Bombyx mori: one gene and its partner. The protein of the gene in region 1 purifies or fractionates together with the protein of each later gene. This does not show direct contact. Links are inferred from orthologs where the notes say so. Each region holds a gene or a part of one and is shown on either strand. Other genes may lie near its edges. The genes, in order: gamma-tubulin complex component 2 and gamma-tubulin complex component 3 homolog.

What was found.
Region 2: the proteins of gamma-tubulin complex component 2 (region 1) and gamma-tubulin complex component 3 homolog fractionate together in Drosophila melanogaster (co-fractionation; 3 studies listed by BioGRID). This does not show direct contact. The link is inferred for Bombyx mori from reciprocal best matches to the Drosophila melanogaster genes Grip84 and Grip91.

Annotation. Positions count from the first base shown.
Region 1 is NC_085119.1:10,557,274-10,561,107, reverse strand, and holds part of gamma-tubulin complex component 2, read right to left. Parts: intron 3,184-3,834; coding exon 3,055-3,183; intron 1,519-3,054; coding exon 1,345-1,518; intron 515-1,344; coding exon 337-514; intron 1-336.
Region 2 is NC_085121.1:10,749,295-10,753,128, forward strand, and holds part of gamma-tubulin complex component 3 homolog, read right to left. Parts: intron 3,184-3,834; coding exon 2,994-3,183; intron 1,387-2,993; coding exon 1,247-1,386; intron 299-1,246; coding exon 92-298; intron 1-91.

The DNA of each region.
Region 1 (3,834 bases):
AAGGCGTTCTTTCCTTTCAATAAACTTTTTATTATGTACCAAAAATACAAAACTTTTTAGAGCATAGATTATAACCAGACTTATTTAGTTTAATTATTTATTGAAATTTCATCTTATGACGATCGCATAGATATCTATAAAATAGTAGAACCAATTGTGATAAGCTGAAATAATAGATAGCTGACCTTATTTTGTCTTTGATGTCATTGAACTTCATTATCTATAAATTGGGATTTAATTAAAGATTGATATCTCAGGTGTAACATTATCAAAGGTTATCTGTCACATGATCAAATAAAAGCATTTAACCTTTTTTTATCAAAATTTAAAACTTACCACACTGACTGATAACGTTCAAATATTTTCCAGTTCGAAGAATAATGTCAGTGAACTTATCGAGAAATTTCGGTACTCTGTCGCTTTGTATACAATATCTCTTCTCCCAATAATCAGCAGAATAATCTACAGGCAGCTCTTCTTTATTAATTAGCTCGTTATCTTCTATCATAAACTCCTGGTAAAATTAATTGTAATTCTTTTGTTAGTTTTTTTTTCTTTTGCTATTGTTGGGTTTGTCCATCACAATATGATTTTTTTATATTTTTTATTTAATGCTTAGATGGGTGGACGAGCTCCGAGCCCACCTGGTGTTAAGTGGTTACTGGAGCCCATAGACATTTACAACGAATATGCCGCCACCCACCTTGAGATATGAGTTCTAAGGTCGCAGTATAGTTACAACGGCTGACCCACTCTTCAAATCGAAACGCATTACTGCCTCACGGCAGAAACAGGCAGAATGGTGGTACCTACCCGTTCGGACTCTCAAGACGTGTTACCAACAGTAATTACATAAATTATAATCTGGCGAGTTTGATTTTTATTACACGATGTCTTTCTTCACCGTGAAAATCAATCATGAACATTTGTTAAGTACGTATTTCAGTAGAATTAAATTGGTACCCGCCTGCGGGATTCGAACACCGTTGCATCGCTAGATACGAATGCACCGAACGTCTTATCCTTTAGGCTACGACGACTTCTGACTTCTTCTGAATGCGGTTGCTTATCTTGAGACAGGTCACAGACTCAATGGTATATAACGACTAACCAATCAACAGGACAACAAGACAATCAACAGAACAACAAAACAACCAACAGAATAGTGATGATGTGCTGCTCACAGTATGCCCTACCCCTAGTAACTATTTAGCTACTATTTATTTTTATTTTAAAATATTTATTTTTGATAATAAATCTGTCACTTACAGCAAAGGAAATTACAGAAGAGCCAGATAATTCTTTTCTTAAATGAACATAAATAAATCTAGTAAATGTATGTACCTGAAATGGATCGACAATGGTTCCTTTATGTATCCACTGATCCAGGACGTTGAGGTAGGGCCGGCAAGCGCGTTCTGTTAAGAACAATGATATCTCCTGTGCACGTGCGTCGCCCATTAATGTGTTGGTTTTGTCATGCAGTACTGTCAGAACTGCTCCACCACGGAGCTCACTCTGTGGATATTAAGTAGAAATTCATAGGTACTTGTGAGATTTAAATGGATTTAAAAAAAAAAAATATTCTTATTTTTCTCTCACATTCATAATTTAATTAAAACAAATATCAAACAATGAATTTATATAATACTAGCTGTGCCCGTCCTTTGGGCAGTTAAAATTAACATTATTATTTCTCACCCTCACAAAGATTCTCATCATTAACGCCCCCGCAATTGGTGTAAGGAGTTCATCACTCATATAAATATTAGCCTATCCATTAAGTACATGTATTTTCTACATAGATACCAAGTTTCAAGTCAATCGGATGCATGGTTTAGTAGTTATAACGGAACATCCGTAAAAACCACTGTAGATTTATATATATGATTTATGATAGATGATTTATTTTCTAATAAAACCTAGCACCTTTAATATTTGGTAGAAGTTTTTTCATTTACTAAACCATTATCTACTTTCACCATCTCTTCCTCTACCTATTCGTTGATATTCAATTTCAGCTACGCCCAGACGGGTAGGGGAGCTCACCTCAGTAGGTGGGCTCAACCTGAGAGAATTCGCTAACACTAACCCTAGCAAGAGCAGTTCTTCGCGGAATCTTTTACCATCACTAAATGTGATAAATATGTATTTGTTAAAATCAATCTTAGTGATAATTTGTTTTTTCTTAAAGTGGAAAACAACAATTGTAGCAAGTTTCGAGAAAATTTCACAAAAATGCGCGATTGCATCTATGAGGAACAAAAATTCATTTTTATAAATAAGATATCAAATACTGTTTTCCCTTTACAGTCGAGACTGTATGCGGACTATTTAATAGAAAGGGGTTTCTAGCACCCCCGAACCTCTGCAATACCAGAGTTAATGTAAATGTTGCATTATTCCACCAAGTTTTTCGCCGGATCTTCTCAGTAAGACACGATTCCGCTCTGACAGTAGATTCAGCGTAGCACTGCTCCTGCTAGGGCTGATGTTGGTAATTCTCTCTAGTTGAGCCTGTGAGCTCACTTACTCGTCGGCGCGTAGTTGGATAGCCTCTTAGGCTATCAAAGATTACGGAAAAAAAAAGGATTGGACTTTCACTATTCGCAGTTATGATTTGAATTATACTTATTTACGCTTTCATGGAAATTTTTTAATTTCCGTTATGCAATTTTTGTCTTTTCTGGCAATTAGCTTTTGTCTAGTTATGGCGAAAATAGCGTTTAAATCTGTTCGTACTTTATCACTAGATAGTATAAAACAAAGTCGCTTTCTCTGTCCCTATATCCATATGTATGCTTAAATCTTTAAAACTACGCAACGGATTTTAATGCGGTTTTTTTTAAAAGATAGAGAGATAGAAGAGGAAGGTTTATATGTATAATACCATCCATTAAATAGTGGAGAAATCAATAATAAATTACAGTTTCCGAAGCGAAGCGAGGGCGGGTCGCTAGTCGACTATGAAATAGAAAAATATCGTTGATAAATAAACACCATGATCACAAAAATGCAAACGATGAATCAAATTCATATTACAGTCGTACTTACTTTTCCAATTTTCGTAACTATAGCGGCAAGAACTTGCATAGTGTGCATTGTGGGTAGCACAAAATACCATAATTTCTGTAATGACAAACTTCCCGTCATATGTTCCGTCTCCAGTTGCGCGATCATAGTCTGTAATTAAGTTCGTTATTTTATTTCTATACCAAACTACTATTTTATAATTATCACAACAAACTTTGTTAAAAGTTAATTTTTATCAGAGTCCATTGCATAACAACATGAAAGATTGAAGCTTAAGGTCATAAATATCTTATTTTACTGCATAATGGCTGTTTCATACTTAAAACCAGAATGTGTGACTGGTCCGTGGTAGACATAGTAAGATAGTGGAACTTAAGTGTGCAAGCCCACAATGGGCTGTCTCACAAGTAATAATAGAAGTAATTACTTGTTTCGGGTTTGCTTTGAATTACATAAAATTATTCTAGCATCGTAATTCAAACGAGGCTTGTGGAGAGTATTTAACGGTAGGCAGCTTGGCTCTCTCCTGGTATTACTGAATTGCATGGGCGACGTTAACCACTAACCATCAGGTGGGCCGCATGCTGATCTCTCTACGAGGGTAATCCAAAAATATCCTTTTTTAATTTAATAATTGAAATTTATGTTAAGTGCATTTGTACGCAAGAATTATGCGCCTGTTACAATTCAATATTTCAACTTTTACAATTGTTCCACTATTGACAAGAACACTAGGTGACATCCTTAAGACCAGTATAACTTTAAAAATAATGACTTTGTAGTGGTAGCTGTCATAGAACA
Region 2 (3,834 bases), on another chromosome or scaffold:
ACACTGGCAACAATGCCATCGCTAGAAGCTAATTGCCAAACTGAAAAAAAAAAAGAGTACATTCGCTGTATACACAGAACGTGAAACTGACCGGGCATGTGTTTGAGTCGCTTGTGCAGTATGGTGTGTTCGCGCCAGGCGTCGTGCAGACTGTACTCGATGCGCTTGACGCGCCAGAGCTGCGTGAACAGGGCCCGGTAGCGCGCGGCGCACGTGGCCGGGAACAGCGTGCCCAGCGGCCCGTCCACGCGGTACTGCAGCGCGAACACGTCCCAGCCGCTGTCCTCGCGCCCGTCGCCTGCCCATGTACGTAACGACTCAACCAGCAAATTTTTTTTTATTGCTTAGTTGGGCGGACGAACTCACAGCCCACCTGGTGTTAAGTGGTTACTCGAGCCCATAGACATCTACAACGTAAATGCGCCACCCACCTTGAGATATAAGTTCTAAGATCTCAGTATAGTTACAGCGGCTGCCCTACCCTTCATACCGAAACGCATTACTGCTTCACGGCAGAAATAGGCAGGGCGGTGGTACCTACCCGCGCGGACTCATAAGAGGTCCTATCACTAGTAAAGGTACTAGCTATATCCGTCCGCTTCGTTGGGCATTTAAAATTAATATTATCATTTCTCACTCCCACAAAGATTCTCGTCATTAACGTCCCCGCAACCGTTGCAGAGTCCAACACTCATATAAATATTCCCCTATCCATTAAGTACATGTATTTTCTACATGGATACCAAGTTTCAAGTCAATCGGATGCATGGTTCAGTAGTTATAACGGAACATCCATAAAACCGCTGTAGATTTATATATTAGTAGAGATCAGCCTATAGAGTTTCTCGTCGGAGCTTCTCAATGGGTCGGTGGTAGATTCGAAGGGAACCACTGCTCTTGCTAGGGCTAGTTTAGCAAATTCTCTCAGGTTGAGCCCGTGAGCTCACTTACCCATCCGGGCATAGCGTACAGGCTATTCCCTCTTAGGCTACCAGGGAATAGGCAAGGAAATAAAGATAAGGTATTGTCGACTAAATTCGGTTTCAAACCGGAACGCATGATAAGCTATGACCCATGGGGCCGCAAAACACATTCTCCTATTTCAAACTATGAGCTCTCTGGCCCCCACTAAAATTAGCATCGAATAAATTAAACATAATATAAATGACCTTTAAAGAATCATTAACGACTTTTGTGAAAACTTTCTTAAACTTTGAAATTGCATGTGGACTTAATATGTACTTACAGTTGGGATACAAATTAACGTGCAATCTAGCGAGCACGTGAGACGGCTCGTACTGCGCGTTGGTAGCACGCACGGCCGCCTCCAACGTACACGTCAGGTTGTGTACGTATAGGGACGTGGCGGGCTTGTTCAGTTCTTCCCTACGAAAATAAACTTGGGTTAGGAACAACATATTTTTTCACCTACCTACGCCGAAAGTTCGGTTTTCCTCCCTGGGTACTACTGACAAGTGCGCATGCGCGTTAGTGTCTCCGTCTGCTCTCACGCACCTAAAATTTTCCGCCATTGTTGTGCTCGGGTAATTTGCAATATTGTGTTTAGTGTAAAAGTGAAATAAACAAAAAGCAATAAAAGTTAATACTGAAGTATTAAACAAAGATGAGTTCATCAGACAGTTCTTATTCAATTAGTAGTAAGTTTATTTAAAAATTAAAAAACAGTTAAATTGTCTGACTATAACTGAATAACAGCTCTGAATTGTAAGGGCCTGGCCACAGCTACTGGCGGTGCGTTTTGCGGTGCGTTGCGAGGCGCGGCGAGCGGCGCTATTTCGGGGGTATGCCACAGCTAGACTAGTTGCGACGGCGGCGGCGTCAGACGTGCACGTATTTAGAAATCCCTATCAAATTTACCTTTCAAAAGTTGAAATAAGTGCGTTCTTAGCTGAAGATATTATTCAATCAAGAATAGGAGCGCACCCAGTTAGAAAAAGAGAGAACTTGGCGAATTTCACCCTATTTACTAGGTATTATATTAGGAATATTAGGAATATAAGAACTATCCCGATAAATAGATTATTAATAGATTCAACCTTCACAGAGATTACCAGGTTCAAATCTCAAATTACCATACGTGTTAATTGGTGATGAAGCCTATCCTCTTAAAAATTATTTGATGCGCCCATATCCACCGGGTGGTTTAAATGCGGAATAAATAATTTTCGACAAAACATTATTCCGGGCAAGTGTCACAATTCAGTACGCGTTTGGTATTCTAACTAATAAGTTTCGTATTTTTACGAAAAGTGTAAAGGCAAACAAAAAGCACGCGACATTGATTATAAAGGTTTCGTGCCTTAAGAGAAAGAGATGGACACAGAGATGCAGATTTTCAGCAGTTTGTTTCCCAGTTTGGAGACTCCAATATTCACAATAGCGTACGCAGATCAAGACGGAATAATCGAGCAACGGTTCAAGCATCTAGAATACGAAATCAATTCAAATTTCAAATTTTATTTCAATAATCCTATCCAAGAGTATCTATAAAACCATTAGTACCAGAAAATTATTTTATTTCGTGCCACATTTTTTTTATAACATGCCTATATTTATGATGTGAATGTTTTGTCATCCATATTTCTGGTCTACTCAGTATTTCACTAATGAATTGTTCCACATCCATTACATTTTATTAGCTCAACGCGCGGTAAAAACAAAATGATTTGTTTCGGTCGCGCGATGCCTCAATGCGTCCACCGACACCGCCGCGCGCGCCGCTCTGAACTGTGGCCGCCTCGATATTGTCTAGTACATTTGTTTCACTCGCACATCGTGCAGCTCGTCGCCGCCAGATGTCACGCGCCTCTCACCGCGCCTCGCAACGCACCGCAAAACGCACCGCCAGTAGCTGTGGCATACTTCATAGGTTGTCTACTATTTGTTTTCGCCGCTCCCGCTTGCCGCGCCTCACGACGCACCGCAATTCGCACCGCTCTCGGCTGTGGCCAAGGGGTAAGAGTGTGTCTTACTGCAACAGCGTCATGAGATGATGCACGAAGTCCCCTTGCGCGAGCAGCAGGTAGCGTCGATGTGCCGCGAGATGATCGAGTAGGTGGTGTCGCGAGCACAGCGCCGCCACCAGGCGCCGTGCCGCCGCGTCGTGCGCGCCCCGCACGGCGCCGCCCAGCCCGGCCGCCTCCCACCACGCGCCCGCACCCTCTGCACGCACGTGGACCCGCTCAGTACTACTGCTTTTATTATGTTCTGCACTTCCAATGGCATTCAATTTGGCATTAAATAATTTATATCTATACGATATTTGAGCTTAGGCTTTGTGATTACGATTGGTTGAAACAAATATGATTGGTATATTGCTATATATAGTAATTAAGAAACAAACATCTGTAGCGTACACAGTTTTATAGGTTTATAAGCAATAATCTACAAGTAATGCAAATAACAATGCCGTTATAATATTATTATGTAGTTGCATTTTTTATCACTCCATCGAACAACATAGAAATAGAGCTTGATTTTGGTATATCACTAAAATCTATTATTATTTTGCAATTTATACTATACTAATCTCTATTTATTACATTGTTAGATACGAGTAAAATTTTGACGGTAGATATTTCCAATTAATGTTGCATGTTGTTACTATAAATTATTGTCATGTACTGCACGATCTGAATTAATTATAACTATTTTAATGTTCTCATTTAAGTGAATTTATGTAATTCTTTTGAGAATAAAGAATATCTTTAACCCGAATTAAAATTTTACCATCATCCTGAACAAATACCTACTTACGTTTCACTTGAAAAACAACTCATATTATTATGTGAAATTAAATGTAATGAAATAAAA